Arabidopsis thaliana: one gene and its partners. The protein of the gene in region 2 interacts with the protein of the main gene of each other region in a pairwise test. Each region holds a gene or a part of one and is shown on either strand. Other genes may lie near its edges. The genes, in order: HSL1, TMAC2 and AT4G14720.

The links.
Region 1: the proteins of TMAC2 (region 2) and HSL1 interact in binary tests that used the Arabidopsis thaliana proteins (3 or more experiments, as listed by UniProt).
Region 3: the proteins of TMAC2 (region 2) and AT4G14720 interact in binary tests that used the Arabidopsis thaliana proteins (3 or more experiments, as listed by UniProt).

What each region holds. Positions count from the first base shown.
Region 1 is NC_003075.7:15,477,297-15,481,054, reverse strand, and holds the start of HSL1 (HSI2-like 1), read right to left. Parts: upstream 1,677-3,758; 5' UTR 1,243-1,676; intron 882-1,242; 5' UTR 821-881; intron 561-820; exon of another isoform or gene 414-560; 5' UTR 267-413; intron 74-266; 5' UTR 8-73; intron 1-7. UniProt on the Arabidopsis thaliana protein: Transcriptional repressor of gene expression involved in embryonic pathways, such as LEC1, ABI3, and FUS3. Repressor of the sugar-inducible genes involved in the seed maturation program in seedlings.
Region 2 is NC_003074.8:385,299-389,056, forward strand, and holds the start of TMAC2 (AFP2 (ABI five-binding protein 2) family protein), read right to left. Parts: upstream 1,754-3,758; 5' UTR 1,140-1,753; coding exon 180-1,139; 3' UTR 1-179. UniProt on the Arabidopsis thaliana protein: Acts as a negative regulator of abscisic acid (ABA) and salinity responses.
Region 3 is NC_003075.7:8,433,451-8,437,208, reverse strand, and holds the start of AT4G14720 (TIFY domain/Divergent CCT motif family protein), read left to right. Parts: upstream 1-2,103; 5' UTR 2,104-2,274; coding exon 2,275-2,392; intron 2,393-2,574; coding exon 2,575-2,714; intron 2,715-2,849; coding exon 2,850-3,028; intron 3,029-3,513; coding exon 3,514-3,604; intron 3,605-3,692; coding exon 3,693-3,758. UniProt on the Arabidopsis thaliana protein: Regulates the arrest of dispersed meristematic cells during lamina development.

The DNA of each region.
Region 1 (3,758 bases), on a different chromosome or scaffold from region 2:
CACTTACCAGAAAAGGCAGAAGAAGATGTCAAATATATTGTCGAGAAACTCAATACGCTCCTTCTGTGAAAGACTATATACAAATAAAAACATATAAGATGACGATATATAGAAGAAGATACCAACTGTTATAAAGTAATCAAAATCCGTAAATGAATGAATAGTTAAGGACATTTGATATTGACATCTAAAGATAAGATATCATTGCATCCTAAGGAAAAAAAAACGAAATTAAAGTTCACAAGAGACAAAGAAAATCAACAGACCTTTCGAAGAAACTTGTCCAAAAAAGAGAAACCACGAGTCACTTCCATCTCCTCAGTTTTCAACCAAACCAATTCTAAGCTTAGACATGTCCACACGAAACTTCTCAGTGGTGCAGTGGAGATGGAGCCTCTTAAATAATTGTGCCACTGTGATAAAAACGCACCATCGAAAAGTTGACTGATGAATGTATGGAAGTCCAAGAAGTCTACAATAGTGATAATGAGAATAATATCTTGACTGTGAAAAAGGATGAATTGATTCTGTAGACAAAACTAAGTGCAAACCTTAAATAGTCAAATTATTCAATTGAACGGAAATGATCCATCACCTATCTGAGCTACAGTAGGCTAACAACGATTCCACTACCTAGGCACAATTTCAAGGAAGATATAATTCTTATTAAACCGCTAAATAATCCAAAAACTTGCGAGTCAGCAAGATCTAATCTGAGGATACACATAACTTTTAATGCTATTGAAAGAAGAATATAGACTTGAAGAAAAAAATGTAATAAGCAGCTACATTAAGTAAACAAGTAAACTAAATGTAATACCTTAACAGAGATGACAGAAATGTATGCAGGTTTGTCTCCAGTAACAGGAGAAGATATTTGGCTGCAATTGGAAAATACAAAAATTAGGTGAATAACATGACATATTTGGCTGCAATTGGAAATTCATAAAGAACCAAGGACGACACTTTCTTAAGAAGCAATAAAATGATATATAAATCGAACTAGTTTCATTCTTCTTCAAATCTTTCAACTTTGGTTGACCCAAAAAACCACTGATTTCCAAGTAAAGCTTATAACTTTGTAAAAACACTGATGTAAAGGTTCAATTTTTACAATCCTAATTCCGAAATCTACGGTCTTTGAACAAAAAAAAACATGCATAAATCACCAAGTTTCTGAACACTAATGGCCGAGCAAGTAAATTTATCAGAGCATAATCACCGGAGAGGGTTAACCCTTACCTTGGTTTGTGTGGAGAGAGAGCCGATTGATTCGATCGGAAGAGAAGGGATAGTTTTCGACGGAGAAGTGAAGTTAAAAACCAAGTCAAAGTCGTCTTTACGTCGACCAAGTGAAGAAGATTTGAGCCAATTCAATTGCAGCAACAAGAGGTAGTGGCAAAGAGATTTAGAAATAACGAAGGAGTTGATGAATTGGTTTCTAAATAAAGAAGAAGAAGCCACAATGACTTAGAGCGAAAATCTCCATTACCAACAACAACAAAGGGCTCGTGGAGAAGACAACAAATCTGGAGCGTTAGATTACAAAAAAAAAAAAAATGAAACACAAAGAAACTGCTGACGTCAGCCTGACCTAAAACCCAGTATGCTTTATTTATTTATTATGGATGAGAGAATAATGTAAAGTTTACTCAAAGTGTGACATTTTATGTAATAAGATATTAATTAAAGTGCACGCAAAAGGTCATCTCTGTTTCGACCTCACCTAAGGTTTGCTTCTAGATTTATATACGTCTAAATTAGTATTTTGATTTCGATAATAATATTATTTAGTAAAGCATTGAATTTGAGAATGATGAAGTGGCTTGGTTTCTAGGGTTATAAGACAGGAACCCACGACGACCATCACCAACACATCAGCAGATCAGCTACTAGGTCCAACTCCAACTCTTTATTTTTGTTGGTTCAACAATTTACTGCAAAAGACTTAAAAAAATGTAGCCCAAATAATCATGTCAGGATAATGGACCGAAGATTGGTTGATGGGCCGTTTTAGATCAAAAAAATCATTCCACCTTTGGAAAAGATCTCTTTAGCATATTACTTTAAGGTTTGTTGCAAATGAAAAATAGTTGGAAAATATTTTAGACCCTTAAAAGTCTTATCCGATAGGTAAAGTATTTAAATCAGTTCATGGGTTGAGTTTCATAATTGAAACTAGGCATAGATTGGCCCTTTCCTTTCTCTTTAATAAATACTCGATTCATCCCTTTCTACTGTCTGTCTCAATATCTGTACATACCATTCATTGTAGCAATCACTATACGTACATGTTAATGTCTATGAAGTATGAACAATAATAAGAATTGGGTAAGAGAGTTATATATGTTGTTGATAAACAACAGTGAATTCAAAACTATATAATTTAGAGAGGGTTTGTATATCCCTTTTTTTCCTCTGTATGAGTAATGTGAGAACCAATTATTCGTTTATAGATGAATAATAAATTATCTTTCTGTTTATCGTACCGAGTTACCTACCATATTGCTTAGACTGGAAATGCTTTGTTGGTAAAAAGACATGATTGGTTGAAAAATAGATAAAAGCATGAATGGGATTCAAAAACTAACGATAATTAGGAAACTGGATTACCATGGTTGGTAGGCTAAACCCTAGCTATTCTAATCGCTATTACATTCTCACCTACTTTGCATAGTCATTAAATTTGCATATCCACGAATTCGTACTAATAGTTTCGCAGAAAATACACATGCAATCTTATGAATATTGCTTGATTTATTTAAGAAACAAACTTGTATGCAATTATTGGTATATAAATCAGTTATAACCGAGCCATTTGTCAATATGACTTTGACACATGGGTAAGTCTAAACAACTAATTCATACTCTAGTTATCAATTGTCTCTTGTAAATAATTTAGTACGTATTTTTTTAGTTAGTCTTATAGATGAGTAAATCACCCTTTTTAAAATTATTAGATTTTCGGTTAAATGTTTTGGATTCTAAACTCAAAATTAATTAGCAATATGTGATGAAAACCCTTGTAGTTATGTAATTGCATGAAACAAAAATGATTTCAAATGTTATTCATATGTACTAGATCTTCAAACATTAACACATGAACTAACATTTTGGAATTACATCGATATTCATTTAATTGGATCCAAAAGGTTTCAACTTCTCGTTCTGTTATTAGTTTTTGTTTCCTCTTTTTTGTTTTCTATTTATTTTCACATGTTCTAGCTTCTTAATTCTAAGCTAACTTGAGTAGCCTAATAAACTTGTGTCACATGATGAGGACATTTCTCAAATGGAACATTCAGACATTTACACTCCCATACGTTGATATCATGTTATTTGCTATATTAGTCTAATATTGTTGCCTTTCAGATTTCACATATGAAATATTCCTTGTTGTAACCAAGAACCATCTCTGTGTATTTTTACAAGCATAAAATAGTAGTTGACAATATAAAAATAACTATCTGATGATGCAACTCTAGTTAATATATCACGAATCACTGACTCCTATATAATGTGTAGATATACTGTATATGTATCGACACCAATTTTACATACATTACCGAAGTATTGATTGGTTCTTTCATTTGATAAAAGAGAGCATATAATTTCACTTTAATCACACTCATTATACATTTGCGAAAGTCTTTCATTCACAACCGTCGTTGCGTTTAGTTTGCTAATACTTTATGTTAGTGCCCGTTGAGTTTCTAAAAGTGTAGAAGTTTTTGTTGTTTATTTATATAGACTCTAGT
Region 2 (3,758 bases):
GATTGATTCAACATTCTTAACCAAAATCAAATCAAGTGGATCTGTAATAACTTTGGATATAAAATGTACATGCTTCAGCTAGTTTAGTCGGTCAAATTAGTTTGACATCGTTACATTTTGAAAGTTAGGGAAAACAAAAAATGAGAGCTCTAATAATAGTTGGGGATAAATAATAATCCCTAGATAGAAGAAGAAGGAAGTTTAACAACAATATGTCTAAGAGGGTTAATCATAACATCACCACCATCATCATCGCTGACGGTACCTCCGCCGTGCCTAACAAATTCCGCCGGAGAAAGAAAACTGCCGTGGCAAACACAAACTATCTTGACCTCCTCCTTGTTCCCTCCGTACCAGTAAAGAAACCCTTCCACTCGTTTCCCGTCGGCTCCGACATCTCTCGTCGACACACAAGGCATGTCTTCAAGAATGTTCCTCGCCTTCTCCATTCCTGAATTTTCCACATTATTCTTCTGCTTCTTCGCCGTATTTCCATTTTTACCCTTCCCGTTGACCGGACCAGTGACAACCAACCGATCTTTTTCTTTCTTTCCCTCCTTGGTCGGAGGAATCTTAAATTCCAGAAATGCCCTCGGCTTCTCTGTTTCGACGGCTTGGCCTCTGTTTTTATCTTTTGTTAGATATGCTCCTCTGTTTGTAACCGGAGATTCCATAAATGCCCTCGTCTTCTCTGACACCTTCCGCTCTTTCTCTATATCCATCTCCGTTACGACCGGCAGAGAACGCGTCCGATCCAGCTGAAACATGTCTGAGCCTCCACGGCCCACAATACGACGCATATCTCCGCCGTTACCGCCGCCGGATCTTTGTTCATCGAAGACGAAACCTTCCGGTATCGAAGAAGATCGACCCAGTTCAAAGTGCCTCCTTTTTCTCGATCTCGGATCCGTACCAAACTGTCCATTAAGCGAAAGACCTAACGTTAGCTCCACGTCTTTCTCATCCTCTTCTGCTTCATCTTCTCTCTTCTTCGCTTCTTGTTGATTCTCACCATGCTCAGAGTCTCGCTGACAAAAATGGTTGCTTGCGATGAAAAACTTCTGCAAGAGATTATTAGCAGAAAGATTGGGTACTTGAACGACGCCGTTTGGGATTCCCCTGCCTCTTATCATCTCCATAACCAAATATCAAAGTCAGAGAAATTCGAAAGAGAAGGGAGAAACGTTTTTGGCTTAACTTTCTATTTTCAATCTTGAGAGAGACGAAACAATTTTGTCTTAAAACAAGCACCAAATGCTTACTATTATAAACTATAGTACTTCAATTTGCATATTTTATATTTTTCAGGGAAAAAAAAAGAAAATCATGTTTTTGAATTATATTACAAGCATAGTTGACGATGTAGTACGGATTTTAAAACTTTACTTTAGTATATTTTCACACAAGTTGGCTTAAAATAGACATAATTTCCAGTTAATATACCAATTTGCATTAGTATAATCAATGAAAATAGATAGTGATTTCTCGTTGACAGACACAAAATATAGGGAATTATTCGGATTATCTTCTTGAAAACATTTTAATATTGATTTATGATTTTTTATAGGAAAAGATAGACGACCACCCACCACGCCACGTGGAAAAGGGCATCAAGTGGCGTAGACGTAGGCTACTTTGTTCATATACAACTCGACACGTGTCTAATAATCAACGTGCTCAACTACGACAGTCCCTTTATTGCCACGTGTATCCAGCCTGACTGGGCCCCCGACACGGCAAACCAAAGAAATACGTTAGACATTTTTTTTATCTAAACATTTCTACGCGCCTTTTCTTGTGGCCTAATTAACTTCAAGTTCTAACAACAATACTAATAAGAGTTCAATATTGGTTATTAAGAATGTGCTAGTTTCTAATCCTTTGTGGTAATTTCATTTCGGTAAATTGTTGTTACATAATTTTTTGAAATTCATGCAGCAGAATAATAGTAATAATAAGGTGGAGAGGAAAGAATGAATGAATGGGAGGATCTCCTAAAGAGACGCAAACAATCAAAGAGGAGATCGAGAAGTGGGACACGCATAGTGGCCAACTTGTACTATTTCTTTCTTTTTTTGTATGTTTGAAGAAATGTTTTGTTTCAAATCTATTTTACCCTAAAAAGGTGATAAGATTAGTGACACGTTTCGCTTCTAGAATACACCACGTACCACTTTATTCATTGCTTCACGACAACATGTAGCCAAGTTGCTGTGTGACATGATCACATTTAAGGATTTAGTCAACCGGGCTTCAGTTTTGTGGTTTACCTATTTTTGCTTCTATAACTAAACTTACAAAAACTTCTCTACAAAAGAGCTACAGAAAGCATCTGAACTTTGATCCATTGGGCTTTTCTTTCATCACAGTTGGCCCATACACATTTCTTTTGTTGGCCCAAGATTGTGATCCAGGATAGTAATACTAAATTAAATTCACATAGCTTTTAAAATTTATAAACAAAGATATGGTTGTAAAAAGTAATGTTTTGCTTACTGCCTATGGGGCCATCTAACACATATGTGTTGGGTTACCATCTCTAGTAGTATCTACCATATGGACTGAGCATAGGGATTGGTGTTTGGGATAGGAACAGTGCATAATAAAGGTGTAGTGTATAAGACAACAGATAGACTGATAGAGTAGTAAATTTTGTATCTCTGATTTTTCTAGTTATTGTAAGTCTTGTTCAAATTTTTACATTTTTCATATTTTAACGTGTCACTTTCCCCAAAGAAAGAAATACCAACAATTGCACTAAACTCCAATTCTATAGATATCGTACGCATGCATTTGCTGCCCAACAGTTTTTATATAGAAATCTTAATAAATTTATTTATGATTCATATTGCAGTTAATTAGTGTTGTGTATTCAACCATGTTATAATTTCTGGAAGTGAAAATTTTGCTGGGCTGTTTCTGCTTTGTTGGGTATTGAAATGATAAGAGTAATTAAAAATGTAACTATTGGGGATAATACAAGAGACGGTTAAATTGAGAGAGAAAAAGTGATAGGAAAATTAGGGGGACCATCGAGTGAATAACTCTCTTTCTCTTCTGTTTTCTTCAGTTTCTCTCTCGAGATGCCCAACCTCTTCACTCTTCATCTAGTACTCTTTAGCGAGTATATATAACAATCACATAATAAATACTTACTCTAAGTCTTAAATTTTATATATAGTTACTTTGTTTACATATAACGGACGTTCCTAGCTGTATAATTCACAATTAATAACTTACACACTAAAAAGTTGAACCTACGAAATTTTCTTAACGTAAATTTTAAAATCATTTGGCTAATTAACTAGTATATCAGATAAACTTACACATTTTCTAATGGAAATTAAATATTCTTAGTAACGCATAGTCATACTTGCGCGTTCTTCTTAATTAGTCTTTCAGAAAAAGTGTCAATATATCTTCTGGAATATTTAATATATAGTCGTATATATGACTATCGAATCTCAGAAATGTGGCTATCAATCTATCTATATGTGTATATATATATAAACGTGTTTGTAATTTTGATAAAGATCTGAAACTCAAGTGGAAGAAACTGAATTGTATACGTCTCGAAATGGCATGCGTACCCACGGTACTGTATATGTGTAGATCATTATTTGAATATCCACGTCAACCGAAATTAATGATTTGGTGTTCTATTTGCAATATTCACGTAAGCTCACGTAATTCATACGTTTTTGTTTGTCTTGCTAACTTTAGCTTCATCTCATTTATATACGCTGATATTGATTGCT
Region 3 (3,758 bases), on a different chromosome or scaffold from region 2:
AAGTCAACAATATATAATTTAAAAACCTTTAAGAAAAAAATAAATTTGGGTAGGGTTTGGTGAGTGGTGTCGATAGAAATGGCGGATGCATCCTTTAGATTAAAGGTATGGTACCAACTTGGATCCATTTCTTCGATAACGACTCTTCCTATTTCCACTCTGTTTTTTTTTTGTTTCCCTCTTCTTTATCTCATATCTTCCACTACTCTCAATAGTCAATTCTATATCCCAATTTTTATGTTAAGTTTTTACGATTTACAAGTTATTGGCAAATTGAAAATTGCTGTCAACTTGCTAGAGGGTATTGTAACAGTACTACCAAATATGAGGTCGAGTCTTAAGTGCTATATATGGAGAGAGATGATTTACGTTTGTGGAATCGCAATAAGTATATATTATCAAATGCTAGTCCATGGACATAAAACTATGAGCCAAAAATTAGAAATTTCTGGTTAACAATAACAATAAAGAAAAAAAAAATGGTATATGCATATACAGTATAAGGTAGATAGTTTTGATTTTTGAAGACCATTGATTAATATTATATATTTCAATATCAATTGTTGGTAAGTTATAAAAACCTTCAAACGAGAGTGAATTAACTTCAAAGTCACAAAGTTCGACTTTCGATGTTAAAAAAAATAAAATGTTTACACGTTCCATTCTCTTGTTCAAAAAAATTATGGATCAGTATTCCAAATTTCATAGTAATCTAAAAAGAAAAAGTTGCATTAATATGGTTTGCTTATCTAATCATTTTTCGGGACATCACCGTATGTATGGATGACGAAACTATATTTTAAAAAGAAGTTTTCAACTGTTCGTTTATTCATGCATGTATATCTTGACAATTACGACATTGGATGAATTGAGTGATGAATCCTTATCGTACATCACGAGTATAATTACATGTATCATGCATTGTTATCAATTATCACTTTATATATTGGATAATGAGAAGGGATGTCACGCAAGACCAAGCAAGGTTTAAGGGAGAATCGATATTGGTCAGACTCATGTGAAAATATATTTCTCCTCCTTCGTCTTGTCAATTTATTACTCTATCTCTTGTATTTTTCAATTGTTTTGGTATTCACTTCAGAAAATGACTAGTCTTCGTTTTTATGTGTTGAGCCATTTTCATTTACATGCATCTAAATGATCTACTGAATATGGATATCGAAGAGATTTTTTAGTATAATGGTTTGTGCTAGATCCTTTAACAAAAAAGTAAATGGTTTGTGCTAGTGTTTTTGTTGTATTGCTAATTTGCTATCCAATTCATAGCACACATGTTGTTGCCAAACAAATGCTAAATCCATTTTAAAAGTATCAACTAGTAAATTAGCTTAACAAATTTTTTGTTAACATGTTTATGAGATGTTTTTTTAAGAAAAAAAAAACTCATTTAACATGATTACATTTAGGGTTTGATTGGTTGTTTTAAACTGAAAATTGTCTGTTTGCAAAAATGTTTGGAATGATTATCTTTTTGCAAAAATTGCGTGACATGTTGAAGTGTTGCAATGCTGGAGGTTCTGCTAACTAACAAGTAATAATCGTATAAGTGACATGATCTTCCATTTTTTAGAGATACTAACCAAGAATTGTAAAACCAGGAAAAAAACACTAACCAAGAATTGATGATTGTCCATCTAGACTAAAGTAGTATACAAACAAAACACAAAAGATATTTTGTTCTATTTTTGGAATAACTCTTATCCATTTATAGAAATAATTAGTTGTTTAATCAAAATATCACATGCAAATTGATCGTATGCGATTTTAGATAAATTGACATCCACTCAGTAATAAACAAACAAGATACTCTCTGATTACAAAATAATCTCTGTTTTCTTTCGTGTCATTTTTCTTTATCACTCATGCTATTATTATATTTAAATTTAATATAAAACTGTTACCATTTACTATTTTATTTCACTGTTTGACGCGAAAAAAATAATCAGCATAAGATTTACCCAAAAAATAAAAAATAATTGGGATACTTAAGCAATGCATGATTAGGCTATAATCTAGAGAGACTAATAGGATGCTTACGTGGCAGTCTAGGGAGCTTCGCTGCTCCAAAAACCATTCCCCTAAAATTGAAGCCCATAGACTATTAGCGACTTCACTCTTTCTCTTTCTTTCTCTCTCTCTCTCTCTCTCGCTCTTCTAATTTTGCCCTCAAAACCCTCCAATTATTACGAAAACGCCACTGCTCTCTCGTCGGGACTCCGGTGAGGCCGTTTTGGCCGGAATCTGACAAGGGATATGGATGTAGGAGTTACTACGGCGAAGTCTATACTTGAGAAGCCTCTGAAGCTTCTCACTGAAGAAGACATTTCTCAGCTTACTCGCGAAGATTGCCGCAAATTCCTCAAAGAGAAAGGTTTCTTCTTCTTCCTTTCTCCATTTTTTTCCGGTCTTATTGTCTTCGACGGTAGGATCTTCCTCACGGATTTTGCTGAGAAGAATCGTACATAGTCAATTTTTTGAAATTCTCTATTCTTCTTCTCTCCGAGCTTTTTTTTTCGCTCTCTGGAGAATGGCGGCTGACACGTGTCGAAACAGGAATGCGCAGGCCTTCGTGGAATAAATCTCAGGCGATCCAGCAAGTTTTATCTCTTAAAGCTCTCTATGAACCTGGAGATGATTCCGGCGCCGGAATCCTCCGCAAGATCCTTGTTTCTCAGCCGCCAAATCCGCCTCGCGTGAGTGTTGTTCTTCGATTTTGTTTCGATTTACAGAGAAAAATCTAAGTTCTGAAGTAGTAGAGAATCGTTTACTTGGTTGGTGCTGATTTAGGGAAAATTGTTGTTCTGTGTGTACTGCTGTTTTGTTCACAGGTTACAACAACGTTGATTGAGCCAAGGAACGAGCTCGAAGCTTGTGGAAGGATTCCTTTACAGGAAGATGATGGTGCGTGCCATAGAAGGGATTCTCCAAGATCAGCTGAGTTTTCTGGTAGTTCTGGTCAGTTTGTTGCGGATAAAGATAGCCACAAGACTGTTTCTGTTTCCCCCAGGTTTACATTTTCTTCTATAGCGTTTTGACTTTGTGTGGTATCTTTCTTCTGCTTTCATGCCTCAAGAAGAGAACTGATGCATTGTGACATTCTGTTTGTGATCTTAGAATAAGTACTTGGTTTGATATCAGTGTCTTAGACATTGAAAAGTTTCTATATGAATCATGGTTTTGATGGTGGATTGGTCACACAGAATTTAGGTTAAAAGAGTCAGATAGATCTTCTTGGTTCTGTGTTACTCTTTACTCTTCTGTTTTGAGGATTGGTATGATGTGATGTGATTATTGCTAGTGAACGATAAATCAGTTACTTAGTCCATTAGTCTATATGATTTGTGAATTCTGCAATTACTAACAAGAGTTTTAGGGGTAGTTCATGTACAAAGTCTTATTGATATTAGGTGCATGTTGTTTTATAAACAAATTACTACTCCAATGTTATTTAATTAAGTTGTTTAAACACGCTTTTTTGTAATGTTGCATCAGAAGCCCAGCTGAAACAAATGCGGTGGTTGGGCAAATGACGATATTTTATAGTGGCAAAGTGAATGTATATGATGGAGTACCACCTGAAAAGGTAAATGAATCACATAATTCTGTCCAGCCTGAAAATATAAATTTTGATGGTATGGTTTTGATCATTCATCTTGTGTATTGATTTGCAGGCCCGGTCTATCATGCATTTTGCAGCCAATCCAATTGATTTGCCTGAAAATGGTATTTTTGCTTCT